Linked DNA regions of Mus musculus. The protein of the gene in region 1 purifies or fractionates together with the protein of each later gene. This does not show direct contact. Links are inferred from orthologs where the notes say so. Each region holds a gene or a part of one and is shown on either strand. Other genes may lie near its edges. The genes, in order: Ubr2 and Ube2b.

Region 1 (14,293 bases):
CCTGCTAATATTGCCACTCCTTTTGAGCCTATGGGGGCCATTTTCATTCAAACAACTGCACACTGGTTGTGTAAAACCTTCCTCTGGATCACATAGGTGTCTCACTGCTCAGGACTGCTGCTTCTGGAGTCTGCAGCCCCATGTTCCCAGAAGGCTGCCTGAGCTTGCTAGTACCAATCCAGAACCCAGAGCTCCTGCTGTGAGGGGTTGAACCTTGTGAGGGTTTCACATCTGTAAATGGTCGCTTGTCACACACACACACACACACACACACACACACACACACACACACCCTTAGCTAGCGGTCTTCCTGTGGACAGGACGTGTACATCTGTAAATGGTCGCTTGTCTCACACACACACACACACACACACCCTTAGCTAGCGGTCTTCCTGTGGACAGGACGCGTGCTTCTTAACTTGCAGTGCTGATCACAGTAATTGACACGCTTTGAAAATATAGACAGCACTCCTGGCACTGTGCGTCTCTGAAGTTGGAGTTCTAGCCGGTGTGCTCCCTTTAAACTGCAGTGGATGATGATGGCTAGCTAGTGCTGTCCAAAGTCTCCCACAGGGAAGTCGAGGCTGGGCTTTCAGTAGCTAGAGAGTGGATACCACAGCTGTGAGCTGTGGCTCACACTGAGAAAGAAGCCCTGTAGTACTGACTGGATTTGAACGTCTTTTTCTGAGTTTCTTGAGTCACAGAACCAGTGTAGCTGATAGAGAGGGAATGGTTGTATTCTTATGGTGCCTTCAGAGCACGCATAGTAAGTACGCACTTTTTGATGTCAGTCCTGAAGTTGTAGGGTGGGTTCTCCGATACTGTGCCGGCCGTAGAAGTCAAGAGTGGGCATTCTCACCTGCTGCTCCTTCCTGCAGCCACCAAACGTTTGCTTAAATGGGCAGAGCCTAAAGGCATCTCTGTCTACCTCGTCACTCATTCTGAGCACATCAGGTGAGGAATGGGAACTCCGAGACACTACCATCATAGCCCCATCCCCAGCACCCCGCCCACGGGCTCCATTGAAAGAATCCAGACAAGACGCATACAGTGGAGTGTAGGAGACAGAATTGGTTTGGTTTGGGCAATTCTGTTTGTTTTTTGTTTTGTATTCTAACATTGTTGTTTGTGTATGGATATTGGTGAGGACGTGCCACGCCTGTGTGGAGGTCAGAGGACAGCTTGTAGGTGTCAGTTCTCTCTCCACTCTGGGTTCCAGGAGTTGAGTTCAAGGGAGAGTCACTCTAGGTGGGCTTTATTCCATCCCTAAAGTCTCTGCAGCAGAAAACTTCCCCTGGGCGCTACTTTCCTGCCCAGAAGCTTGACAGAGCCATTTGGATTAACTTGGGGAGATGGCGGTGGGTCCTGTTCTTTTCTAGGGAGCTTCCAGCGAGAACATAATCTTAGGCAGTTTAGATAGTTAACTGTTAATGGCCTTTCAGGTTTGTCTCCACCACAGTCAGAAATCAACTCTGCCCGCACTGCGGGTCCCTAGTTCTCCAAGCTGTCACGGGTTACAAGCGGGGGATTCATCCCCCTGACCCTCAGGCTTGCCGATGGTGAAGAGCAGCTGGGTTGCCTTCTCTGGCTTCCACCACGCCAGGCCATCGGCTGCTCAGTACACCTTCCTTTGCTCTACTTTGACTAAGCCAAGAGTTAACCTTGTGTGCTTATAACATGACCACATATTTACCAAGTTCTTCTCCTTTCTCACTTCTTAGCTACCCCAGAGGAGCTAACAAACTGATAGACCTTCCAGAGGATTACAGCAGCCTCATTAACCAAGCATCCAATTTCTCGTAAGTTACTCTCTTGGTGCCCTGCCCCTCAGACCCTTCTGCAGACAGTCAGATGGGTTTGTGGGGGCTCTTTGTTTTCACTGGGGAAGAGAAATCAGAAGTCCTTTCCATTTACTTATTTTATGTGTCTCAGTGCTCTATCTGCATGTGCACCTGTGTGCCAGAAGAGAGCATTAAACATATCCTCTTATGCATGGTTGTGAGCCACCATGTACTTGCTGAGAATTGAACTCAGGACCTCTGGAAGAGCAGCCAGTGCTCTTATCTGCTGAGCCATCTCTCCAGCCCTGCATTTGTGATTCTTTTTTTTTTTTTTTTGGTTTTTCGAGACAGGGTTTCTCTGTGTAGCCCTGGCTGTCCTGGAACTCACTTTGTAGACCAGGCTGGCCTCGAAATCCGCCTACCTCTGCCTCCCGAGTGCTGGGATTAAAGGCGTGCGCCACCACACCTGGCCTGCATTTGTGATTCTTAAGGAGTTTTCTGTCTCTGGGTATCTCCTGCGTCTCCCTCCTTGCTCTGTAGACACGTCACTCTGAGTGCTGTGCTGAGTCTCTGCCCTCTTTTACTCTGTTGATGTGCTAAAGCACTGACCAGAGCAACGTGGGGAGGAAAAGGGTTAACCTGCTTACAGGTTACAGTCTGTCACTGAGGGAGGTCAGAGCAGGGGCTCAGAGCAGGAACCTGGACGGGGGACTGAAGCAGAGGCCATGGAAGAACACTGTCACTGGTTTGCTCCGTCTGCGTTCTTATATAACCTGGGCCCACCTGCCCGTCATCAATTAGCCATCAAGAAGAAAGTGTCTCCAAAGATGTGCCCACAGGCCATTCTAACAGAAGCCATCTCTTGTTTGAAGCTTCTTCTCGCCCCCTCCCCATGTGTCTGGGAAGCTAACATGGGTGTCTGTTCCGCGTCACTCCATTTAAGTGGCTGTGTCTGCAGTACTTTGCACACTGTGTCTGAGATTTGTACGTGACTGAGGCATCACTCTTCCGTGCCCCAATAGTAGTTCCTGTTGTTCACACAGTGTTCCCATCTGCCTGTCCCAGATGTTGCTCCCTTAGGTGTTTCTGGTAGGTGGTATTAGTGTGTGTCCCAGTGTCCTGTCACAGAATGGTGAATACTGACAGATTATTTTCCAGGGTGCTCTGTGCCTGTTCCTTTGTAACAGTGCTGTCTTTATCTTCCAGGTGCCCCAAATCAGGTGGCGACAAGAGCAGAGCTCCTACTCTGTGCCTCGTGTGTGGGAGTCTCCTCTGCTCTCAGAGTTACTGCTGCCAAGCTGAGCTGGAGGGTGAGGACGTCGGAGCCTGCACAGCACACACCTACTCCTGCGGCTCCGGGGCCGGCATCTTCCTGAGGTAAGGCCCTCGGCTGGCCGTGTTCACCTGAGCACTTCGGGGACTTTCGAAGCCACTGTGCCACTGTGTGCAGACTACAAAGAGCCAGGGCTCTCACATTTCCCGTATGGCTGGTGACAGCTCCCAACTGACAGCTTAGCTCCCCTTTGTGCCTCCTTAAATGTGGGGCGATCCCTGTCCCTCGTTTCCTCCCCAAATTCAGGTAAAGAATTCCCCCGTCAGGAACTGCAGAGACGGAGCACAAGAGCACCTGTATTCAGGTCCCAGCATTTGGGTCAGCAGTGCAGCTCACGACTGCCTGTAGCTCTGGTGCTAGGGGATCTGCTGCCCTCTGCTGGCCTCTGTGGACTCACACACTTACACATAAAGCATAAATTTGTAAATCTTTAGAGCCCAGCATCATCTTTGCCTCTGTGGTGCTCTTAGGTTTTCTCTGAGGAGGCACGGGTTGCCACTGGGTCCTGTACTCAGATAAAAATACTTAGTAACTGTTGTATGTCATTTTTTAAACGAGTAATTTTCTCATAATTGTGGGGAAAAGATGAGCTGTCTTTCCCCACACTTAGCTGTTTTAAATTCTGCTTGGAGCCCTGGGTTCTCGACACAGTCACTGTCTGAATTTGCAGCACGTCATTGCCAGGTACATTCCCGCCGCATGGCTCCACTGAACACTTGTGTAAAGAGTCCCTTGTTCTCCTGAATTGGCACCTCGGAGGCTTACCTCCTCCGTCTGCTAACCTAGGCCTAGGCCTGGGGACTTCCAGACTGCACACAGGCCAATCTAGGCCGACAGTGTTTCCAGCCTCTGAGACTTTGTGCTGAATAAGCTCACCCTTCCTGGTTCTTTCTGAGCTCTGACTGGCTGTGACTCACACCCCTCTCCATGCTGACTGAGTCAGACTGACTTCTGAGTTGCTCTGTTTGGCCTCATGCTACCTTTGCAAGCTCCTCTGATCTTCTGGCTCCTTCTCATTCTCTGACTCATTCTGTCTTCACCGTGTCTGCTTGGTCTCTCTTCAGCCTGTCTCTGTAAAACCCTCCCGGTAAATCTGCCTTCTCTCTTCCCTCTGGCTCTGCGCTGCTCTCTCAAGTAGCTTCCTCTTCCTCAAGAGAGTGAGGCACATCCTATTCTGTCAGATCTTTCTCTGATTCATAATTCTGTCTGCCACTCCATTAGACGTCACTTCCAAACATGGCTGTGTCCTTCCACAAACTATGGATTTAAAGGTATGTCCTAAAGGCAAGTCTGTATTCCAGCAGAGGGATTAAAACCGAGCCGTACCACAACTAGAAACAGTTTTTTCCATAAGTAACACAGTCTCAGGGTTCACAGTGTGATCAAGTCCCCTGCACCAGACTTGGGCGGATACCTTGCTACTCGCAGGTATCTCTGTTACAGCTGCTCTCGTCTCCTGACCTGGCCTTTTGTGCATGTGTTTCCTTACATAAGCCTTTTCTCTGAGTTGAATCAACATCATGTTACTTACATAAATGTACAAAGATGAATGCTCTCTCCACAGAGTGCGGGAATGTCAGGTGCTATTTTTAGCTGGCAAAACCAAAGGATGTTTTTATTCTCCTCCTTACCTTGACGACTATGGAGAGACCGACCAGGGACTCAGGTAAGGACCCGGCCTGGGGTTAGGAAGATGAGCCTCGTGGAGAGCATGATAAGCAGGGAGGTCCTGAAGTCAGCTGGGCTGGTACCCAGGAGTGGGCTCTGCTGAAGGTAGCTTGTCACCCGTGGACTTGTCACCTGTGGACTCGTTCTCAAGGAGCACACCTGGCTCCTGCTTTGTGTGCATTTGCCACCTTTGGAAAGCCAGGAGTGGGTGGGGAGAGGGCTTGGTTGGTAAAGTGCCTGCCATGTGGGCATGAGGACCTGGGTGTGACCTCAGTGCGGAAGGGGGGTGGGGAGGGAGGTGTTTCTCTGCCTCACCAAGTCAGTGAGCTCAGACAAAAAGCAAGAGACTGTCTCAGGAGACACTGGCAAGTGACTGAGGAGGAAGACACCTGAGGGTGACTTCTAGCTTCTGCCTGCGTGTGCACACAGCCATGAGCACACCCACACACGTGCATGGCCACTCCCATGCAAACAGAAAAAAATGGATTCTTTTCGAATGTCTTGGTGTCTTAACTTGGTGGGTGAAGTGCTTGCCTCCAAAGCCTGAGGGCTTGTATTCAGATCCCCGGCTCTCTCTCACCCTAGTGCTACAGGCAGACACGGGCCACCCCAGAGCTCATCCATCAGCCAGTCAGCCTAGGCAAAATGGTGAGCTCTGGGCTCAATGAAAAGGCCCTGCCCCAGAGATGAGGTGGAAGGAGACAGAGAAGACACCCAACACTGGCCTCTGGCCTCCGGCCTCCACACACCGAGCATGGCATATACCCCTGCACATACGTGCACACATTGAGAATAAAATTTTAAGTTTAATATAAACAAAAGGGCTGACGACTGTTGGCCGAGGTAAAGGCCTGCTTCAGGAGCCTGCTGACCAAGTTCAGTCACAGAGTCCCATAGAAAATGGAAGGAAAAGTGACTCCAGAGAGTACGTCCAACTGCCGCGTGCACACATGGCAAAGGAGAGAGACAGAGAGAGAGTATGAGAATGAGAAAGAAACTTGAGAAACCCTCCATGAGGAACATAGATAGGACAGATGTGAGAAAGCCAAAAGACTGCTTTGAGTTGCCCATAGCATCCCCAGCATCAGCCCCACAGGTCCGGCCTGTGTGGCTCCCTTCAGGGGAGGCTTTTCCTGTCCTGGTGACAGGAGACCAGGTGTGAGTGCCCAAAGATATGTGTGCAGAAGAGAATCACATGATGCAGGCGCAGCTGCCCTTGATACTGCCTCTGCTGGGAGCTTCCCGCTCACAGAGCCCTACTCCAAAGCTGCTTGCCCCCAGGCGATGAAGGATTAAAGCAGAGGTGACTTCCCAGGCTTGAATAACCAAGGTTGGGCTGTGTACCACCATATACCCAGTTAACGTGGGCCCAGCGGCAGCAGGCATCTAGTTACCTTGTTAACGTGGGCCCAGGGGCAGCAGGTGTCTAGTTATCTTGTTAACATGGGCCCAGCAGCAGCAAGCATCTAGTTACCTTGCTGAGGCTTCTAGGTGACAGCCCCTGTCTTGTCCTGTCATCCTTCCACCCTGTCCTTTGCCCCACGACCTTTTTGCACATCACCATAGAATAAAGAGTTTTAGCTTCTTAACTCAGACCTGGGCCAGCAGTCCTGTTTCCTGACCTCAGTCTAACTGTGTGGCACTGGAGTACCTACCTTTTCTCTTCAGCACATACCCACAACCCAACACCGTGCGTGTGTGCGTGTGTGCGTGTGTGCGTGTGTGCGTGTGTGCGTGTGTGTGTGTGTGTGTGTGTGTGTGTGTGTGCGTGTGTGCGTGCGTGCGTGCGTGCGTGCGTGTGTGTGTGTGTGTGTGTGTGTGTGTGTGTGTGTGTGTATACAGAAAATACACAGTTGGAAGCTAGTGCTGTACACCTTTCCTGGCACAGAATGTGTTGGGACATGAGGAATGGATAAACTGTGCCTGTGAGTGACATGTGTCTCTTTCTAGACGAGGAAATCCTTTACATTTATGCCAAGAGCGGTTTCGAAAGATCCAGAAGCTCTGGCAGCAGCATAGTATCACAGAGGAGATCGGACACGCGCAGGAGGCTAACCAGACCCTGGTCGGAATTGACTGGCAGCATTTATAATCGCTCCTCTACTAAAAACTTGACTTGGAGTTTTGTAACACAGCTGGCTTTTCCAGAAAGACAACAGGAAATAAGTTCGGCTGAATCTATTTTGAAATAAATTCTTTATTTAAGCTTTTCTTCCCAGTTTTATTTTTCTAGTCTGGCTCCAGGGACTGATAAAAGTCATTTCTGCCAGATTTTATTGCTGTGTCCCTTAGACGGACGTCCCCTGGGTTGAGAGCCCTTTCTAGACCGGAGTCTAGCTCCTTTGGACGCTGCCTGCTTCAGCTGCAGTAGCCTGAGCCAGTCAACATTGCTGATGGTGTCAAGCTTGCTGGCTGTCCACCAGAGGCCAAAAGGAGCCCTGGGGCCTGTCAGGAGGACATGTCCCACCATGGTTCCTGAGACTGGGATGCGGTTCAGCTCTGGGACTAGACCTCACCTCCAGAGCAAAGCAAGTCAATTTGAAGACAGGACTCGCTTCCCCCTATGGCCTAGAGAGCTGGGGACTCTAACAGGAGAGCAGCCGGCTTTTCATGGCTGTAGATGGTTGGTCAAGACTTTTAGCTTTGAAAGCATTACTCAATTAAAGGGCTTTTTGAAATGTAAAGGACCTCCTAGTTTTTCAGACTATAGCCTTCTGCTCCAAGGCTAAACAGAGAGCATGTGCGCACCCTCAAGCAGACCACAGCAGACAAGTAAGAGCTCGGCTGAGTACAGTGCTCCAAGCCTGCAATCCCAGCTCTCAGGATGCTTAGGCAGCACTAGGAGTTCAAGGCTAGCTCCAACTGTGTTACAAGCTTGCGGCCAGCGTGGGTAACTTGAGGAGACCCTGTCTCAAACCAAACGAAATCCAGAAGGCAGTGTTTTGAGCTGCCTGCCCTGCCCTGCCCTGCCCTGCCCTGCCCTGCCCTGCCCCGCCCCGCCCCGCTCCGCCCCGCATCTGGATCAGATGTGTTGCTGCTTGTCTGCTGGTTGATCTAGGACATTCCTCAGCCTGTGCACACAAACGCCTGTTCTTTTTATTCTAAGAGCAGCCTTTCTAGAACTATAGCTACTTGGTGCCACAGTTACGGCTCTGGCACACCGCACACCTATTTCCTCGTCTGACGGATATCCGTCACATTCAGAGAAGTCACATAGACATGGTGACAGCAGGTTCAGCAGAGGGATGAACTCCAGTCTCCAGGAACAGAAAGGGGCTTTCAGCTTCTCTAACCATCAAAGAACCTCTCACTCAGCCTTTCAAATCACATCCACTCAGCTCTATCCATGCCTCCGTGTCTCAGGAGAGTCAGAAATCCAGACCAGAGGCTCAAAGAAATGCAGGTAGCACAGTCTCCAGGATCATGTGAGGAGCTGCCTCCCCTTCAAAGGATGGACTTCAGTTAGCTCTTCAGCGCGGCCCAGGCTCAGGACAGAGAGTTTGTAATGGAAGCCCAAGCTAGACTCCGTGCTCTCCCTTTGTCTCGCCTTCCCTTGGCATAGTCAGACTGGGCTGTGGATGGTGATGCTTTCGACCTTTGGCACATGCCGTTTCTTTAGATTTTAAGTTCAGCTTCTGTTGGCTCTTCACCTTCCGTTCACAAGGCTTAACTGTAAAGTTATGGGAACGTCTCTAGACTTGAGCCTAGTGCTAGAACACTTGCCTAGTGTGACTGAGGGCCTAGGTTCAGCCCTGGTACCAACCCAAAAGGAAAAAAAAAAAATCATGAGCACAGCTTGCTTCTAAACAGGCTGAAAACATCTGCTTTCTCACCTGACTCCACAGGAGCCTGGGATTAGCAGAGGTGGCCCTGTGTTTCACTCCTGGGAACATCAGGGTCTGGGCAGTGACTTCCCAGGGAATGGCAGTCCTCACACTGTGGCAATGTCATGTCCTCCCCCTACCGACACGTCTTACTTCCACTTGTTCCGCATGTTTTTGTTGTAGAAATGTTTATATACCATGCTTTCCATATCAGGGGAGATCATGTGTTTAATAAATTGGCTATAATTTTAATATCTGTGGACAATTGTAAAATTTGGGATGTATCATATGTAAAAAGTAAAGATATTCAAATAAATGCTTTAGTGTTGACATTGAGTTTTGCCTCCATCTTCTCCATGTCATTCGCACACACGGGGCCCCAGCAAAGCTCCTTGTGTCACCTTGCTGCAAAAGTGGGACATCGATATTAGCCTAAAATTTAAGAAGCTTAAACTATTAGTGTCAGCTATGACCACTAGCCAGGCCACACTGACCTTCTGGGAGGCATGGGCGTTAGCTCAGCCTATGAAGTTTTCCTCTTGTTGTCTGTGAGAGTGGGAAGTCTGGGGCCCCTGGACCGCAGAGCAGTGCACAGCAGGTCTGTGGGAGACTCTCTCAGCCTTGCCTGCTTCCCTGCAGGTCCTTGTTCTTCTACACCCACCCGACACTTGGCTTCTGCGATGTGTTCAAGAAGGAGACGACTCAGAGTGGAATTCTGCTGTGTTCTCAGAATTCTCTTACCAGACTGAGTCAAAACATCAAGTTCTCCATGGGACACTGTCAAACACCAGGGTCTCCATTGGGCTTCCCACCTCCTGGTCATTAAGGCTAACTCCTGCCCTAGACCAGCTGCCTCTCACTGACTGCTGGCTCTCTATCTATCTATCTATCTATCTATCTATCTATCTATCTATCTATCTATCTATCTATCTATCTAACTAACTATATCTGGTTGGTTGGTTGGTTGGTTTGGGTTTGGTTTTTTGAGACAGGGTTTTTTCCCTGTGTAACCTTGGCTGTCTGGAACTCACTCTAGACAAGGCTGGCCTCGAACTCACAAAAATCCAAATGCTGAGATTAAAAACCTGTGCCACCATAACCCACCAGCTCTGACCCCACCCTTATCTAGTGATGTTTACTGAGGTATACTTTACGGACAGATTAACCCTCTTTAAGGATACAGGGTTGTTTACATTTTGGCAAATGCACAGTTGTTTAACCAGCACAGTTGAGAACTAGAGCAGTCCCTGCAGAACATACCCTCACACCCCTTTGTGGTCCCCTCCTCCCTGCCCTGAGTGCTGCCTCTCACTCCTCTGTCCTGCACCCCTTCCAGAATCGTAGGTGACTGGAGTCACATGAGGTGCCTTCCCAGCAGCTTCTCTGCTACTCGTGCATTTTAGAGCTGGAGAACATAGCTTAGTTACTGAGCATTTGGGAAACCCTAAGTTCCACCCCCAGCAACACAAAAGCTACTATAGTATTTACAACCTGCATCCCAGCAGGGGGGCTGCAAAGGCAGGAAGATCAGGGGTCCAAGGTCATTTCAAGTACATGAGTTTGAGGCCTGGGATACAAGAGATAGGGTTTCTAAAAATCCTTATAAAGTCGAGTATGTTTGAGAGTCACACTTGCCTCTGGATGCTGATGGCATCCACTGTGCAGACCTTGGTACAGTCTCTAATTAAAGGCCTGGGTGATGGTTGGTGACCATCTTGTGATTACAAGCACTCCTATCTACATGGGAGCTTTGTGTGGACCCGGGGGTTTTTATTTCCTTGGGTAAATGGCTATGAATTTCCTTCCATCATGTTGCCCGCTGCCACCAGTCCCATGTCCACAAATCGGGAACCCATCCAGGCCACTCGTGCATAGACTTCATACCTTCCACAGGTACAGCTCTGCCCTGACACACAGCCACCAAGAACTCCACTGCGCAGCTGGGCTGTGGTGGCGCACGCCTTTAATCTTGGGAGGCAGAGGCAGGCAGGTTTCTGAGTTCAAGGCCAGCCTGGTCTACAGAGTGAGTTCCAGGACAGCCAGGGGGATACAGAGAAACCCTGTCTCGACAAAAAAAAAAAAAAAAAAAAAAAAAAGAACTCCACTGCGCTAGTGGAGAGTGACTGAGAAGCCCTGATTGTTGTCGCTAAGCTGCAAACCTGCTGGGCTAGCATGCCCGGTGGGTGCCGGGTGAGGAGGGGTTGGGAGCTTGCCTAGCAGAGCAATGGCTAATCTTATTAGCCCATATTGAGGTTGCCTGGGATTTACATGGTGGCTTAGTTTTGAGCTGGAAGCATGTCAAGAGAAGTTGTAGGTTCTTACTTGAGCTGAGACGACAAACTCCCAGGATTCCTGCCTTTCTGGTCATTGAGCATAAGAAACCATCAACTGTTGTTTTACTAGAGACTGTTTTGAAAATAGAAAACTGGGCCAAGAGAACGGTGACGTGGCCTTCAATCTCAACACCCAGGAGGCAGAGGCTGGCAGATCTCTGTAAATTCAAGACCACTCTGATCCACATAGCAAATTCCAGGCCAATCAGGGTTACATGGTAAGACTATCTCAAAAAAACTAAAATAAAACTAAGAGGCTGGGTGTGGGGCTAGCCTAGTCTACACAGCAAGTTCCAGGCCAACTTGGGCTATAAGGGACACAGTCTCAAAAAGAAGTCTGGACTGGGGGTGTAGCTCAGTGGTAAAAAGCCCATGCTAGGGTGTAGCAAATCCCCATCACAGCTTTTAAAAAGGAAGGCAGGCGGTCCCTGCTTCTGTCTTTACCAGTTACCCTGACTGGGGCGGGGCTGAAACAGCTGTTAGTGAGTTTGCATGAGCTTGAGGAGGGACCAGTGTCACATAAGGAAGAGCCTGGTTGGTACCAGAGTATTACTTGGACTGGTAAGTCACCAAAAGGAATGGTCTTCCTGGCAACTCTTAGCTACCTAAAACTACTTCCAATGCAGTTTATCCTAAATCTCTGAACCACGTAACCTGTAACCCAGCCCCAAGGACGCTTACAGTTACCTATTAGTGAAAATGATTGTTTTAGAAATCCAGCATGGAAAAAGAGACTTGACTGAGGGGGAGGGCTGTGCAGTGGGCAGGGTGTTTAAGACAGGGTTTCTCTGTAGAGCCCTGGCTGTCCTGGAACTCACTCTATAAACCAGGCTGGCCTCAAACGCAGAGATCCACCTGCCTCTGCCTCCTGAATGCTGGGATTAAAAGCATGTGCCACCACTGCCCAGCTAAGACTTAATTTTTTTTGAAGTTATTATTTCTGCATCGATGGGAGGGTGCCACTTATATGGAGACCCATGGAGGCCAGAAAAAGAAGTCAGATCCTGAAGCCGGGGTTAGAAGCAGCTGTAAAACTATACCTGTGGGTTCTGAGAACTGTCCAACTGTCCATGTATACTCTGGATGGACAACAAGCACTCTTCATCACTGAGCCATGTCTCTAGCCCTGACCCCAACTCTATTTATTTAAAGACTGGTCTCATGTACCGCAGGCTAGCTCTGGAACTTGCTATGTAGTACAAGATGCCATTGAACTGATCCTCTGGCCCCCACCTCCCAAATGCCAGAATCAGAGAGACATGCACGGCTGGACCTGGCTCCTTCCTTTTTAAACAGGTACTGGCTAGAATTTGACATCCTGTGACGTGTGCTGTTGAATAGACGGACAGTCACTTAACAGTGATTTTCATACAATATAGTTTTTAATATCTCTTAATACGATGGTTGACAGCATAGTTAGAAATGGGTCTAGAGTATCTTTCACCATAGTCTCAGCCCTCCTGAGAGGTGACGGCAGGACCCCGAGGGTCCCCGCCACAGATGCCTGGCTCAGCATCTGGGCCATTTCTTGCTCTGAGAGACTCAGAATACTAACCAACATTGGGGCCATAGTTCGTTGGGTGTGCCAGCATCTCTAATCTGGTCTTCCCCCTGAGAGAGTTAGAACCACACAGCACAGGCCAGCAGCAGCTGAGCCCTTGGGGACCAAGCCCTGCCTCCTGGTGGTCTCAGATGGCCACAACAGTCCTTGTGGGTGCCATCCCACAAGGTGCCACCAAAATCATATTTTTGCTTCCCCTGAGAGTTTGCCTGACGTTCCCAGAAGAAACAGCAACTTTCCACACACGCTAGCTCGGAAAGATAACCTATCTCCAGAATCTTCCTGGATACGGAAGCATTCCCATAGTGCTTTGTGGGAGGGAGAACAGAAGCTCCCAGGGGTCTTTGCCCTCCTGGACAGTGCAGTCCACAAAGACTGTTGTGGCCATCTGAGACCACCAGGAGGCAGGGCTTGGTCCCCAAGTGGCAGATTCCTAATTGATCACCACATCTCTCCCACAAAGGACAGCAAACTCACCCGGGGCCTTCTCAGGCAGTGGCTCACCCAGCACTTGGTGAGTGGAGGATGCTGGGACATGCCAGCTGAAGTACGTGACTGCGAGTCTGGGAATGGGGCAGGTATGGGACACTCACTGGATTTTACTAAAGGAAAGTTTTTACCTCCTGTGCCATCTGTGAATTTCTATGTGGAGGTAACCTTCTGAGGGAGTCCAATACTCTTAAAAAAATATCATTGCTTCTCCCCCATTGTGTAACATGAAGCAAATGATGACCAGCCTGTTAACCCTATCATTAAGGAAAACAAACAACATGGCCCTTAGAGTTTTCTTATTTTCACCTTGCTTTTATGTTTCAAGTGATGGTTGGGATGCAGAACTTGTAGCTTAAAAGAGGCAGACACTACTGAGGAGGGGAGAGGCCCTTGGTGTGGCCAGTCACCTATGAGAGATCTGGACTCACACTTGGACAGAGCCCTGGACTGGCCAGTCCTGTGAGCGTTCAGTCCTGGCCATCTGCTGCATCGTTCAGTCACTCACATCTGGAGGCAGCCGTTTCACAAATGTTTGTAACCTGCCCTAAGGACCCTGAACTTCAAGGCCCACATCAAGGAGAGTCAGTAGGTGACCAGCTTTCTCGGGAAATTTGGACTTTCAGCTGGACAAAGGGGGTATCCACAGTCCCTGGAGTCCACTAAGTGTTGAGGAGGGGGAGAGGCCCCAGGCCATCAGCCAGCCTCTGGAGCCGGGCCTGCGTCTGCACCTTCAGCCTCCACCTGATTGCTCTTGCCCAGCTTCTTAAAGCTCTCCAGAAAGGCCTTCCAGGTCTCGGGCACGCTCTTCTCCAGCAGCCAGCCCTCACTCTCACACTCGGGGTCCTCCGGGTTAGACACACTCTCCAGCGCTGTGTGGAGGTAGCGGAGTCCGGCAGTGATGCTCACCTGGTAGGGAGAGAGGAGACTTAGAGCAGACATGAGGCTTAGCTAGGAGGGCTGTTAGGACAACATGAGCAGTGGCAGCTCACATCTCCCTGGATGTGGGGCTGGGGCAGATGGTCACATTGCGACCCATCCACCCTGGCCTCCCTTCCAGCCCCCTGAAGGCGTTTAGAACATCTGATACTCTCTGCCTAGATCATCATGGCTCTTCAGTCGCCTGTTAATCCAGAGCCGACCCCAAGTGACCCGTGCTGTGCCTACCCCTCCTCTTCCTTCTTCCTGCCCTTCCCCCCACCACATCGACCACCCCAGTCCTTCACTCCATAGTCCACCCTGTCATGGTGTGTTGCTTTGTCCATAAGAATGTCAGCAACTTTACCGAGTGGGATCACAAGGTC
Region 2 (15,564 bases), on another chromosome or scaffold:
AAGGAAGGCAGCCACATTCATAGTTTTGCTGTGTCTGTGACTACACCCAAACTCTACTGAACTGTGTAATTTTAATGTGTTGTACTTTTGTAATATAGTGTAATTGTGTAATGCAGTGCTAGAGCACACCTTCAATCCCAGTACTCAGGAGGCAGATAGAGCTCTGAGTTCATGGCCAGCCCTGTCTACAAAGCAAGTTCCAGGACAGCCGGGGTTGCCTTGAAAAATCAACCAACAAACAGGAATTGGCAAGTAGAACGGTGCGTACGTTCTATATGTGAGTGTGTCAACCCGAGACTGGGCATGCAGCTCAGGTTGTGGAGTGCTTGCCTACTGTGTAAATGTCCAGTTTGATTCCTAGCACCACAGATTTTGGGCATGGTGGCACCTGCCCATAAGCCCCTGCAGCTGATCCTGAGCTCGGTCAGCCTTGGATCCATCAACCTGAAGGCCAGCCTGGCTATGAGATCCCATCATTTAGCTGTTTTACTCATTTGAGTGTGCACACATGTGCATGTGTGCTCTAGTAACACATGTGGAGATCAGAGGACAACCTGCAGGAATTGGTTCTATCATGAGCATCCTGGAGAGCGAACTCAGGCTGTCACACTTAGAGGGAAGTACCTTTTTACCTACTGAGACATTTTATTTTGTTTTGGGAGATAGGGTCTCAGTCCAGTCTGGCTTTTAAGTCTCTAAGAACAACCTTGAATTCCTGATTACCCACTTCCTGGCTTGAATGTGTGGTTTTTAAAAGCTAAGTTTCAGGTAAAATTTGTGTTCTTTAAGCAAATAAATGTTTATTACTTTTAATTCAGATGTTATTAAATTACTTTAATTCACACATGGAACCCTGTTAAGATTCTAGCAATGAAACTGTAGCTAACACAGGTGTGGAAACAGTATTTGAAGACTAGCCCTAACTGTAAGAATAAGCTGTACCCACGGGGAGGAACAAACCCTCCCAGCCCTCATCCCATCTCTGACACAGTCTAGGAGGCTGCTACTTACCATTTGGATGAAACATTTTGGATAAAAACCTAACGGTTGGTGGTTTATTTGGATATTCTTCAGAAAATTCTATTACTAGTTTAAAAGTACCTAAATAGAAAACAAACCAAAGTACAATAAAGACAAACATTACTTTTAAATGCCTTCATCAAATAATTCTTAATTCTATATCAAATTTTGCACAACCACACTCGTTAGCCCGAGAACTCTCATTTAGCATATAAAATATCTAAAATACTTCTGTTATAGACTATGAACAAGCAATGCTGTCAAAAGCTGAGGATAGGGGCTGGTGAGATGGCTCAGCAGGGGCTGGTGAGATGGCTCAGCAGGTAAGAGCACCCGACTGCTCTTCCGAAGGTCCTGAGTTCAAATCCCAGCAACCACATGGTGGCTTACAACCATCCGTAACAAGATCTGACTCCCTCTTCTGGTGTGTCTGAAGACAGCTACAGTGTACTTACATATAATAAATAAATAAATAAATCTTTAAAAAAAAAAAAAAAAAAAGCTGAGGATAAGCCCTTTCATGGGCTACTGGAAGAAATGTGGAAAGCGGCAACTGTCACATCTGATTAACTGATTGTATGATCTGTGCAGGCAGGTAGGCAGCACAGCTGGGATGTGTGGAGGTCAGCGGTCAGTTGTTCTGAAGTCAGTTCTTTCCTCCCACCTTCACCTGAGCTCTAGGACTCAAACTCAGGTTGTGAGGGTTGGTGTGGGCGAGCTCCTTCACCCTCTGAGCCATCTCAGCACTCCCAATTGTCAGATTTTTGAAAGGCAACTGGGCCCTAGCTACTAATATTTTAAAAATACACACTCAGCCGGGCGTGGTGGCGCACGCCTTTAATCCCAGCACTTGGGAGGCAGAGGCAGGTGGATTTTTGAGTTTGAGGCCAGCCTGGTCTACAGAGTGAGTTCCAAGACAGCCAGGGCTACACAGAGAAACCCTGTCTCGAAGAACCAAAAAAAAAACAAAACAAAAAACAAAACCAAAAAACAGCTGGACTATATTAAAAAAAAATAAGCAAACCTCCAACAGCTGGACTATACAGTTTCAAGTAAGCATGTGAGGTAGTTGAGCTGCTTGCTCTCAGGCCCACTCAGCAGTATCAGTACCACTATGGGTAAGAAGTGGATTCATGAAACCGAGCGGCACTGAGAACAGCGTGGACGTTGATTAACTCACCATGGCAACAGACACAAGATCGCCAAGAACCAGATAGCACCAAGCAGCAGCAAAGTTACAAAACAATGTTGTGGCCTGAATATTACCACTTTCTGATTTCCAAAACATTGGTTTTTTAAAAATAGCATTTAATTAAAATAATGGTTGCAAAAAATCTGAGATTCACATAGCTGAGATTTACTGGCACTCATGTTTCTGTACAGACTGCTTCCAATAACCTACTGGAACTTGTACCAGAAATCGTTAACTTGACAGCTGGGGACATAGCTCAGTTATAGAACACTTGCATAGCAGGCAGATAAAAAGCCTGGGGTGGGATGCATAGGAAATATTGTAACCCCAGCTAGTCAGGCAGCTAAGACAAGATGTCAAGTTCCAGGCCAACCTGGCAACTCTGCAGGACCTTGTCTCAAAATAAAGTAAATCGGGTTGGGAGCTCAGTGGAGAGCACTGGCCTGCACCCTGGGGTCATTCTCCAGCTGCCAAAACAGAGGCCCTGGGAAAACCCGCCAATTCATCAAGACGTAATCGAGCCTTATAACATTAACCTACCTAAATCATTTACTTTTTTTTTTTTTTTTTGGATTTTTGAGACAAGGTTTCTCTGTGTAGCCCTGGCTGTCCTTGAACTCAGAAATCCGCCTGCCTCTGCCTCCTAAGTGCTAGGATTAAAGACGTGTGCCACCACGCCCGGCTTAAATAATATACTTAAGAGAAATACTAAATAGCATACTTAAAGACTTGCTAGTGACAAGCACACTACTATTCTGCATTTGTACAGTTCTTCATGTTTGGTTTAAAGAGGACAGCTGGGTTCTCTTATCTACATGCAACCTGTTACAATATGTTTAGTTGACGTACAGTACATGAAGAAAATATGGCCTCACACAATATGTAACTGAAAAGGATTTTCATAGCCCTTTCAGATAACTAGACAGGTCTGATATTGTACAAGTTTGTTTGTTTGTGTTTTTTTTTTTTTTTGGTTTGTTGCAATGGAGCATGGGGGGGGGAATCCAAAAAACAAAAAACCATCTCTTTACTCAATTACAAGTTTAATGTAATTTAAAAATATATACAGAAATTAAAAAATGTAAAGTACAGCAGAATTAAACTGCTATACTTTAAAGTCTTGTCTTTTTTTTTTTTAAATCTACAGACAGACCCAAGGTCATGCCAGGCACACACTCCCAGTAACCCAGCTCCTGCTCTAGGCTCCAGCTGCACCCACTCTGCTGTGGAAGGCCTCTGAGGTCCTTCATAAAGCACAGTATTAAGGAGCATCCACATGTAAGGACGAGCAATTTCAACTACCACCAAGTCCTCTTAACATGCAAAGAACACAGTCACTGTTAGCACAGTGTGGGCCACAGTCCCGGCTCGTTCTTAGATGCTCAATTCCTTAGGTACAGATCTAGCTTAGTGAGGCTGCCTTTGTATCAGCAATGCAAAGGTCAACACAGTTAAAGATGACCACAGGGTCTCCTGTATGGCGGACTCAAGACATCTTGAAGAGTTTGGGAATGGACAACTGAGAAGTCCTGACATAGTTAAAGAAGTGTGCCACAATCATTCAGTAGCTCCTGGGATTCCTCATGCCTACTCACAAGTAAGTAAGTGACAGTGTGGTACGCATCCCTACACGGGCATACATGTTTAGTGAGAGAGAGAGGATAGTCCTAGCATTTGGAAGGCAGAGGCAGGAGGATTTGTGAGTCTAGACCTACAGAAGAGGCTACAGTGAGATCCATCTCAAATATACAGATGCTAGGTTATTCTACAGCATCTTTGTCTAAGACCTACAGCTAGACCGGCCTCCTTTTCTTCGACAGGTACTTAATATCCTAGCGTCCAAGAACGGCACCACTCACTTCTCAGGTTTTCAGGTGGTTCTCTCACAAATAGTTCATAGTAACTATTCTTTTTTTTTTTTTTTGGTTTTTCAAGACAGGGTTTCTCTGTGTAGCCCTGGCTGTCCTGGAACTCACTTTGCAGACCAGGCTGGCCTCGAACTCAGAAATCTGCCTGCCTCTGCCTCCCGAGTGCTGGGAAAAAAGGTGTGTGCCACCACGCCTGGCCACAGTAACTATTCTTGTCAAACATGCTGAACAGATGAATTCTGAAGTCATTCTGATAATTACAGCAAAGCTGTTTAATTTTTTTTTAATCCACTATAATTAAGGAAAATCTTTCAGTACCTGCTTAAAGTCAACTTAACAAACTTAATTGTGATTACAGATTAGAATCATTCTCCCATTTTCCTGGCTCCTGTTAGACCCAAATTGAGCTGCAAATGACTGCACAACGTTTCTGGGTGCTAAATGCTGAGTAGTGAAGCTACTGGTAACTCTGAATTCAGGACTCAGGGATGCCTGGCAGTGGAGTGCCTCCCTAGAACATACCAAGCTCTGGATTTATTCCCTAGTAATAGGGAGAAAAGAAATGGAAAATTTTACAACACCCTTATGAATGCAGACAAGAAAGCAAGGAAACAGTTACCCACTTGGTAGCAGTGCCCAGGGAGCACCTCTATTAGGCCGCCCAAACATCAACCATTTTGTAACACAGACCACTTAGACCTACAGCTGTATAGGTAACCCATGTCACACGGAAAACTGGTGAAAGGTGACCAAGGTGATGTGCAAAAAAAAAGATCCCCATGAGCTCTAAGTTTTCATTTGCTTGCTTAGTATGCCAAGAGCTTATTAAGAGTAGAGCCTGTCTTCAAATACTGTTAGAGTCTCTGACCAAAGGGCACCCTTTTAATATGTAGATAATAAGAATTACTTACCATCTTCAAAGGGTGTCCCTTCTGGTCTGAAAACAAAAAGATCTCTGATTAAAATTAGTTTTTTACTCTTCTTTCTCTGTCTTCAGGGAGGGAAGGATAACTTGGGAACTAGGAGGACGGCGCTCACCCTGCTCCTGAGAGCTGCATAAACTTTACCTGTCAGACTGCCACAGCCGTGGCTTGAACTCAGGCAGCACAAAGGACTTTCAATGCTCAAGTTCTTTTTGAAAGGAAATTTGTCTATGATTTTGTTGCAAAAGAATACTGTACAGCTGAGTGTGGCAGCGCACACCCAAATAAAGGCACATGCCTTATTCCCAGCACTGGAAGGAAAAGGCAGGTAGATATCTTGAGTTTGAGGCTAGCCTGGGCTACAGTGTGAGTTCCAGGACAGCCAGTGGCTACACAGAGAAACCCTGTTTTCAAAACCAAAACCAACCAACAAACAAAAACCCAAGAGTCTACAAGTGAACCTGGTACCACACACTTGTATTCCCAGAGACTCAGGAGGCAGAAGCAGAGGATGTCAGAGTTTGAGGACTGCCTAAGATACACAGCCTGACTAACTTGGCAAGGCCATCTCAAACTAAGATTTTAAAAAGGATGGTATAACACATACACAGGGGGAAAAAAAAGCGGGGGATGCGAGTCTCCCAGCCCGGGCTTGCCCAACCATGCAGCAATTGTCCTGCCTCAGACTTCTGAGTGCTAGGATTTATTAAGGATAAGTCAGTATACCTATTTTGATTTTCTTGAGATAAGGTCTTACTAAATAAATAGCCCAGGTTGGCTTCTACATTGTGATCCTTCTGCCTCAGCCTTCCAGGGGCTATGATTATAGATGACTGACCAGGACTTCAGGAATGTTAAGGCAAGCACTCCACCACTGAGCTAGCTACATTCTTAGTACCCCACTAGTTATCTACTAGTTAAGTGTAGATCCCCCACTAGTTATATCCTAGTTAAGTGTAGATCCTTGTAAGACAGCTTACTGATGAAGAATATTTGAAAAAACCTCTTACAGGAATTTGATTTCCAGTACCCATGTCAGGGAGCTTACAACTTCAGGACATCAGACATTGGCCTCTGGCTTCCAATGGGCACCTGCTCTCTTATACACGTATCCTTCAAACCCTAGTTTTTAATCAATTACCTGGGTTGACTGTAAAATCATACCATACCATAACTAGCTGTAGTGGTAAATTCCCATAATCCCATATATAGACAAACACACATAATCAAAAATTTTTTACATTTTAAATCAAAAAGGATGTGCAGGGCTAGCAAGACAGTTTAGCAAGTAGAACTACTCGCCATACTATCTCTTGAACACATGATGGAGGGAGAGAAATGACTACACAATTGTCATCTTACCTCTACACCAAGTGTTATGGGTTATAGATACCTACTCACAGTCAGTCAGCCAGCATGCAGGCGTGCACACTTGCGCACAAATGATAAACAAGAAATTAAAAAGGTATTATATGGTAGCCTATGCCTGTGTTCCCAGCACTGAGGATGTTGAAGGAAGAAGATCCCAAGTCTGAGAAATGCATGGAGATCTTTTTGTTGTTGTTTTTTTGTGAGACAGGACCTCAGTAGGCAGCCTGGACCCTAGCCTCTAAGTGCTAGATCAAAAGGCTGAACCCCACCCTTGTCAAGAGTCTATCTCAATAGAATCTCAAAGGTGCTAGGAGTGCAGCCCAGTGATGGATGGAGCATTTGCCTACAGGGTGTTTCAATCTCAGTATTACCCAAAGTCATCCAGTGGCTTCTCGGTAGGCTGTGCATATGTCATTTTTAGCTAAAATTCTTGTCACAGCAAAGTTTTCGGTCCTTTTGGTTCCAAGTGTCCTTACAGCTCCAACAGTAGGGGCATAAACACTTGAACGGCACATTTTGTATGAGGTGATTTACCTGATCTCCTTCATTAGCCCATTTAATTTCCAGCATTTACTTATTAGTGTGGGGATCAAGCCCTGGGCCATATGCATAGCAGGCAAGCAGTCTACCACTCAGCTTCACTCAAAGCCTTCACACCCTAGGATCAGTCACCTCGAGTAACCATAAAACCATACCATAGCCAGGTACAGTGTCATACGCCCACAATCCCAGCTACTCCAGAGGGCCTAAAGCAAGAGGATCACTTCAGCCCAGTTCAAAATCACCCTGAGCAACACTGCAACACACCTTGGCTCAAGGGAAAGAAGCCAAATTAAATATAACAGCAAGCCGACCAATTTTATATAAATGCCCCAGACTCAATAAAATGTTTCAAGAGCTGGATATACAGCTTAGGGATGGGAGCACAATTAGCACAGGAGGCCCAGGGTTCTCAAAAGATGTGTCCCCGCCCCACACAAGTGAGTTTCAGAATCGGCCTCAGCCTCTCTCCCCAGTGCTTATTTACTTACCTTTTCTGAGCAATCCCTAGCTCAACTCACCCAAATATAACTGCATTCCACTGCATGATGTTGTTTTCAGATGGGGCGCCACTGACCCCCACAGGTGGGTCCTCTTGCAATCTAGAAGTCCAGAGTAGTCATTTTCAGAGTTGAACATATAGGCCAGTGAGGTCAGACTCTCCTGAAGCTACTCTGACAGACTAGCTAGACTGACTTGTTATAGTTGGAGCTGAAATGAGTTACGATCTAAATGAATCAACCAGGTTAATATTCGTATTAATACTACCAGATCTGTAAATTCTTCAAACAGCAAGATTTAAGATATGGTCTCTTGAGGAACTCGTTTTCAGAGTACCCTCTTAACCCACTCAAAGTTTACAATTTTAGCAATGAAAAATACTTTTAGATAACCTGCAACTACCAGGTGGTAGTGGTTGTCCACACCTTTGGACCCAACACTTGGGACATAGGTGAGTGAGTTGGAGGCCAGCCTGGTCTACAGAGTGAGTTCCAAAACAGCCAGGGCTACACACACAAAAAACAAACAAACAAACAAAAAAACCCTGTCTCAAAAAACAAAAACCAAACACAACAAAAACTTACAATTTTCGTACCTTAATCATGGAAGGATCTCCAGTCCTAACTACAGACACTACACAACACAAAAATGTAGGAAATCTCTATACACTAAATGACTTAAAAAAACAAAAAACCTCAATTTAACTAGAAAGCAAGTCTTACTTCATGGCCTGTGCTTCAAACAGTGCCTTTCTAAAGTAGTCAGAAGCTCCAGCTAGCTTTTCCAGCAGGCTCTATTTTAAAAACTCTGCTCTCAGGCCAAATATACCTCAGGCCTCCATACAATGCTTTCAACAGACATCATCAGCAATTTCATGTAACCTCAAGATCCTTGGAAAACCACCAAAGGCACCTTGTACTCAACTGGGAGTCAAGTACAGAAATTGCAAAAATGAACAAGAGATAAATAATAATAGATAATGTATTATCCATAATGGAAAGTTTTATTTGTGTATCAGTTACAGAGCTAATCAAATATAGTGACTTCAAGCATTGGGTGACTTTTGCACCAAAAAGGACATCTCTTTGTCTGGCAGATCATTAATAAAAAAAAAAAAAAAAAAAAAACAGCCTGGCAGTAGTGGCGCACGCCTTTAATCCCAGCATTTAGGGGACAGAGGCAAGGGGATTTCTGAGTTCGAGCCAGCCTGGTCTACAGAGTGAGTTTCAGGACAGCCAGGGCTACACAGAGAAAGAAACCCTGTCTTGAAAAACAAAAAACAAACAAAAAAAAAGCAAGCAAACAAACAACAACAAAAACCTGTCCATCTCACAAAGTATGTTGTGATTTTTAAGTGGACACTTGGCAAACTGGTCAACCTCAAGCAGATTAGGTCACTAACAGGACTGAGAGGGACGAATTTACTGCTTCATTCCTCAATTGTGTGGCTAAAATCAGCAACGAATTAAATGATGAAGTTGTCCAGGTCCCAAGACAATAGCTTCCAAATGCCTCATAAAGGGCTTTTTTTTCTCTCTCTCTCATAAAGGGCTTTATAATGGGAAAGTTGAGCAGTTGCTTCCTGAGAGGCAAATCTAAGTTTTTATATTACAGATTTGTCTCAATCACAGCGGGTCTGCCCAGAAAGAAAACTAGTATCTAGTCTACTGTTTCTGCACTTGTACGTTTCCAAGGAGAGGTAAACAACTGGGAGAGGTCATCTTCTTCCTTCAAGCCCCACATTTCCTATAAACCCCTATTTTCCAAAAGGAGGCCCAGGTGGAGTATCAGATTAGCTCCAGTCTGACGGAAGGCATTTTTCCAGGCTGGGGAGGCTATAGATAGGCTTTTATTCCGCGGCCAGATCTTAGTTCCAGAAGGCACTGGCAGGCCAAGTGGCTAGCTCCAGGCCCAGGTTTCCCGAGCCAGTTCTCAAGGTCCTTCCAGGTGGGCGGGGGCAGATCGGGTTTCGGGGGATGGGCTAACCACCTCCGGACCTCGCGCAGCAGACCCCACCCTCACCACTGCAGAAAGGGAGAGATTTGGGGCAGTATTCACCCCAACCTCTCACTACCAACAGGAGATCACGGGGCCCTGTAACAAAGCTGGACTGGTCCGCCAGGCGAGGCCGGAGCCTCAGGAGCAGCTCACTCGCACCACCTGGGGAGGGGACACTGCAGGGTGCAGAGGCGGGAGGTGAAGCGTCTGCATCTGCCCTAGGTGGGCCTCTGGGACACCTAGGCCCAGCGATGGCCACCTTCCTACTTTTGGGGGGGAAGGGCAGGAGGCTGTAGTACCGACCATCTTTACTCCAGACAGAGGGAGGTATGAAGCGAGGGAGTAAGAGCCACCGGGAAGCCGGGACTGCCGTGGGTCCCGCAGGCCCACTGCCCGCCTCCTCAGGGTCACCAGGAGGAAGATATCCGGAATCCCCGCCCTACAGTCCATGGCTTCGGGAAGAGGCCGTCATATTGGGCTAAGACGAGGGCCCTTACCGCTTGAAATCCCGCATGAGCCTCCTACGGGCCGGGGTCGACATGCTCCGCAGCTGCCCCGCGGTCAGTCTGAAAGAAAAGAGTCCCGTTCAGCCCCCCCACCCCCCGGCGCAGCGGCCGAATCACTGTGGGTCGCCGCCGCCACCGAGACTGCACAAACAACCCTGCAATGACGTCTCCCTCCGCCGCCTCCAGATCCCTCCGCCCTCCGCCAGTACCACCGCGGGAGGGGGGAGAGGGGGCGGGGCGAGCGGGCGCGCGCGCCGCACCGGAGGGGCAGAAGGCGGCCTTCCGGGCTTGTTGCTTGCGGGCAACTACGGAGGATCCGCTCCGTGCTCACGCTGAACACGGCCCGGCCCAACGCCCTCGGAGCCCACACGCTACCTCGCCTCGCTCCCCCCGTCGCTAGTTTCAAGTTCGGCCGGACGGGGAGAGAGTGGTGCATCCGGAGCCTGAGATTTCGGAGGAGAGGAGGTGGGGGGGGGGGTGACGTCAAGTCACGTGACCGCCAGCGCCGCTGTCAACAATCCACCCCTGAGGGGGAGGGAGCGAAGTATCTAGAACCACGTGTGCCTGTGACGCCATCAGAGCAGGTCACGTGATGGCCTAGCCTGGCTCTGGTTTCAGGTCTAACAAAGCAGGTCCTTGAGTATAAGGAGTTGACACCTCTAGTCATACATTATTCTTTTGGTCCCAAAGTACTGGGGCTTTGCAAAAGGAGACATTGTGGAAGGAGCCGCTTGCATTCTGAGTCTTTTAAAACGGAACAACAAAAAAAAAATCTGGACTTAATTCTGTGTTTCAAGTGGCTTAGCAACTCTGGTACGTGGGACAGGTACTGAAAGTGTGGCAAAGCCTTGTAATGAACGGCTTTGAATGCTAGGTCGGTGCAAATGAGATGGGATTAAGGGCATTTGCATCAATAGCCTGTTCCTGCTAATGGAATTTCCATACTTAGAATTTATACAGAAATGAGAGTGGAATAGATTGCCCAAACCTTAAAGACTCCATCTATGGAGTCTTTGAATTGGAATCTGTGAATTTGCCTGCGGTGGGGCACAATTGTGTTTTTCAAGAAGTGAGTGGGTGTGATTTTAGAGCATATCAATGCTGCTGGTTGTCAAAGAAACCTACAAAAATGATTCAGATCAGGGGAGAGATCCTGCAGACATGGGTGGGAGTTAGAGCTCGACTCTGAGGTAACTCATTACAAGCTTTATACAATAGCAAAGAGGGACCAAATGGACCGGAAGTGCGGTGTGGGGGGTTGATTCATAGCCGATTCCCGAAGCATTGACCACCACAGCCCCCAGCTGGCTCCTGGAATTTCCGTGCTCAGCTTCTAGCCCTGTATTGGGGATTTGTTAGTTCTAGGGACCGGAACAGTGTAGTAGATGCGGAATTCTTTAACTCAAGAAGGGGGAAGCGCATGAGACTCCACTGCTCACTCTTTCACATGGTTCCATGAAACCAGGAAGGGTTAACCTTTTTCACTGTCCTTATCCCTTCTTCCTTCAAACAATTCTCTTGATTTAAAATGACCTTGAGAACCCAGCGTCTTGGTGCATCCTGCCAATCCCACCATTCGGAGAGTGGAAAGGATCAGGAGTATAAGGCTAGCCTCAGTGAAGCAGGATGGTAGCCACCCTAGGCAGCCTGAGCGTCTCATCCCTCCCCGCCAAAAAGTAACCTTGAGGATTGTCAGGTATGTCTTACTCTTGATAGCCGCTGCTGTGTCCTCACAATGTGACTAAGCTAAAAGTTAAATATTCTTACCTTTACGTTTCTTCTCTTTGAGTTATTCCGTAGAACCCCAGGGCCTTAGGTAGCCCTGTAAAATGTTATTGAAAAGGATGCAGCGCACAAGCACAACTCCAGCACTGGGTAGACAGGGGACTAGAGGTCTGCAAATTCCACCGCACCTAGAGTTGGGAGAGACCTTGTCTTGGGGGAAAACAGGCTTTTTAAATCCCCTGGGCCGGTAACAAGTGCCTGGGCTTTTTTAAATTTCCGTCCAGCCATACCAATGTTAATCTTCCTCATGATCAAGAAATACATAGAGTGAAATGGCAGACGCTTTTTAAAAATCTCATTCTGTTGCTTATCTAGCAATTTATTACTTTAAAAAATGGACGGGATAGTTTTTAATATCCAAAATGAAATGTTTTGATAAATTGAATGCTTCCCAAAAATATAGAGAGCAGAATGTTAACAAAATTCACACAATTTCATGGCCAGGTGGCTTGCTGGAAACCTACAACCGCAGTCTTAGAACTATAATTTCACTTATTAAAACAGGGTAACTTGCTATGTAGACCAGGCTGGCCCCAATCTCACATAGTTCTGACTTCCTCTCTCCTGAGTGCTGGGGTTAGGAGTTAGTTTGTGATGACAGGGGCTCACTAATTCATGCTTTGCTCCTTGCAAATATTTAGTTCATAACAAATCTTAAGTAAACATATAGCAGGTCTCACAACATTCTTATTTATAGGAAAAAGAAAAATCCAAGCCAAGTGCCCAGCCCTCCTAACTCTCAAGCTCCAAAGCCAGGCTCTAGCAGTTAGTAGCAAAATTGCAAAAATGGAAATGCGTCTAAACTGTTTCTCTGTGTAGCCCTGGCCGTCCTGGAACTCGCCTGCCTCTGCCTCCCAAGTGCTGGGATTAAAGGCGTGAGCTACCACGCCCGGCTGTTTTTTGTTTGTTTGTTGTTTTTTAAGATTTTTTTTTTTTTTTTTTTTTTTTACAAATACACTGTAGCTGTCTTCAGACACACCAGAAGAGGGCATCAGATCCCATTACAGATGCTTGTGAGTAACCATGTGGTTGCTGGGAACTGAATTCAGGACCTCTGGAGTAGTAGTCAGTAATCCTAACCGCTGAGCCATCTCTCCAGCCCTAAACTGTTTTTTGTTTTTGTTTTTAAAAAAGCAAACTAGTTTCTTTTTTACACTACTCAGCACACTCGTTGTGCACATTCATTTGTGTGTATAGGTCACAAGACAACTTGGAGGAGTTGGTTCATTTTCCACCACGTAGGTCCAAGAAATTGAACTCTACACTTTGGGCTTCGTAGCCTTTTCCTACTGAGCCATCTCGATGACCTACTTTTGCTATTACAGTTAAATCAAGATCTGTAAAAATGGAGCCCTTTTAAAAGCTCTGCGGGCTATTTAAAAGTACATCCCTAGGCGTCCTTGTACTTACTCAGCCTGTGGCAGAGTCCGGTGAATTATTTTGTTTTCCTAAAAAGTTTTGCGTTTCACACGTCATGAGAAAACTTTAAAAGTACTGCTAGGGCTGGATATGATGGCACTCAGCACAGCACTCTAAGCAGGCAGATAATCTTGGGAGTTTGAGGCCAGCCTGGAAGTATACATTGTGAGTCCCAGGCTACCCGGAGCTATATAGTAGCCCTTGTCTCAAAACAAAAAGGGATCACTAGTAGGTAGAAAGCAGTAGTAATTGGGAAACTGAAAATGTGTACAGAAATGGTGTTAGAAATAAGTCAGAGGAGTAGTGAACGCTGAGTATGTGGCTTACTACCGAGCTAAGCCCTCTATCCAAAAACGATCTTGTCCCCGGTTTAAGGATTATGTCGACTTTGAGGTCGAAATCGGTTGCATGGAATAGTAACGAAGCACTGGCAAACTGTAGCCCCATAAGTGTTCCGTAGATCCAATTATCTCCGTCAACCTCCTAGAACCGGGCACAAGTAAGGGACCAGTAACCACCCAGGTGACAAAACGCTCTCTTGCCGGGCGAAAGCCTCCAGGCGTTCATTCTGCTATAAAATGCCCCGCTCTCCCTCATCCCCACCCCCCACCCCCACCCCCACCTGCAAGCACGCGGGCCTCCTACGTCCCTCCCCCTTCCCCTTGGGTCTATCTTCCGCTTCGTGTCACTTTCCCTTCCGGGTCAGGACCTCAGCAATTTCCAGTCTTGCGTACTGTGCTCGGAACGCGGCAGTGCCCCGCCCTCACCCCGTTGCCAGGGCGTCCGGCTGCCCCGAGCCGGCAAGGTCGGCCAGGAGAGGAGGTGTGGTGTCCCGGGCCGGCTGGGACTTGCACGCAGCCGGGCCGGCGGGACTACAGGATGGGCTGAGGCGGCGGTGGTTCTCAGGACGAGGTCGACAGCGCGGCGAGACGGGCCACTCGGGTTGGGGCTGCACAGACTGCGTGTTTGAGGAGAGGGCAGGACGTATGGGTGACTAGTGCTGAGGTGGGAGTCCCCACGCTTGGTGGACCGTGGCTCCTAACAAGGGACCCGCAGTGTTGTTAGCGGGACTTTTTAGTTTGGCTTCCATTGTTCCTGAAAGGGGACCTCAAATTGTAAATCCCGTATTCTAAAAGGATGCCTGAGTTAAACGCATATCAGACCTCTTTTATTTCTCAATCCCGGTCTACACAAAATGCTAGATTAATGAAGGACATCCTGCGTTCTGGTGAAAGTTGGAGCTTCTTAGACAATTTAAGAGTTCCCTCGAGCAGGCTCTGCTGTAGCCGGCACTCCTAGTTTTTGTTCTTATATCCGAAAGTAGGGGATTATCTCTAAGCATTATAGAGCTTGTATAATTGAAAGTGTGAACGTTTAACGTTTTCTTTCTTTATTTCTGTGAAGTAGAAGCCAGGCTTGAAAATGGAGATGTATGAAACCCTTGGAAAAGTGGGAGAGGGAAGTTATGGAACGGTCATGAAATGCAAACATAAGGACACTGGGCGAATAGTGGCCATTAAGATTTTCTATGAGAAACCAGAAAAATCTGTCAACAAAATTGCAACGAGAGAAATAAAGTTTCTAAAGGTTTGCTTCTTTTGCCTTTTATTATATATATTTTTTCTTGTTTTCCCATTGGGACCTATCTTGCTATGCAGCCCAGGCTGTCTTGAAATGCTTTATTTTTTTCCAGGGCTAAGATTTACAGGCCTACATTGAAACACCCATCTTCTTTTTCCTTGATTATTTAAGTCAAAAGAGAAATTGTTATGGGATAAAAATAAAATATATGAAAGAATGTTTCCATTAACAGATAAACTAAGACCTGTCATAGAGAAACCCTCATTGTCTACAATCTGTACTTTTTTATTGATATAAGATTGTGTGCTTGTGTATAACAATTATGCTAGTATTGTAAAATCATTCAAAACTATTCAAGTATAATACTTAGTAAGGATGTCTGCTTTGTACAAGGGATTGTGGAAAACGATGAGAGTAGGAAGAAGGAAAAAAAATTTTTTTTGCCAGGTATTGGGGTGCAAACCTTTAATTCCAGTACTGGAGAGTCAGAGACAGGTAGATCTCTGAGATTAAGGCCAGCTTGGTCTGCAGAGTGAGTTCTAGGACAGCCAAGGCTGTTAAACAAAGAAAACCTGTCTTGAAGAAAAAAAAAATGTTCCTTAGTGGCATAACTATGCAGGAGGGTATAGTAAAATAACCCTGAATAAGAGTGGTTCACGCTGAGCCAGAGAGATGGCTCTGTGGTTAAAAGCACTTCCTAGACTAGAGTCATTTCCTAGCACCCCACATCAGCAGGTTCACAACTGCCTGTAACTCCAGCTCCCAGGGATCCTGTACCTACTTCTGGTTTCCAGAGACACCTGCAGGCATGTGCATACAATCACATACCCACACAGGCTTTTTTGTTCATTTGTTGTTTA

What was found.
Region 2: the proteins of Ubr2 (region 1) and Ube2b purify together in Homo sapiens (affinity purification with western blotting; 3 studies listed by BioGRID, with this or other methods). This does not show direct contact. The link is inferred for Mus musculus from reciprocal best matches to the Homo sapiens genes UBR2 and UBE2B.

Annotation. Positions count from the first base shown.
Region 1 is NC_000083.6:46,922,940-46,937,232, reverse strand, and holds the end of Ubr2 (E3 ubiquitin-protein ligase UBR2), read left to right. Parts: intron 1-1,721; coding exon 1,722-1,799; intron 1,800-2,987; coding exon 2,988-3,158; intron 3,159-4,678; coding exon 4,679-4,780; intron 4,781-6,732; coding exon 6,733-6,874; 3' UTR 6,875-8,942; downstream 8,943-14,293. Other genes in the region: Prph2 (peripherin-2), read right to left, coding at 13,686-13,898. UniProt on the Homo sapiens protein: E3 ubiquitin-protein ligase which is a component of the N-end rule pathway.
Region 2 is NC_000077.6:51,990,383-52,005,946, forward strand, and holds the start of Ube2b (ubiquitin-conjugating enzyme E2 B), read right to left. Parts: upstream 10,110-15,564; 5' UTR 9,955-10,109; coding exon 9,911-9,954; intron 7,517-9,910; coding exon 7,436-7,516; intron 5,018-7,435; coding exon 4,992-5,017; intron 1,102-4,991; coding exon 1,012-1,101; intron 1-1,011. Other genes in the region: Cdkl3 (cyclin-dependent kinase-like 3), read left to right, coding at 14,546-14,710. UniProt on the Homo sapiens protein: E2 ubiquitin-conjugating enzyme that accepts ubiquitin from the ubiquitin-activating enzyme E1 and transfers it to a E3 ubiquitin-protein ligase. In vitro catalyzes 'Lys-11'-, as well as 'Lys-48'- and 'Lys-63'-linked polyubiquitination.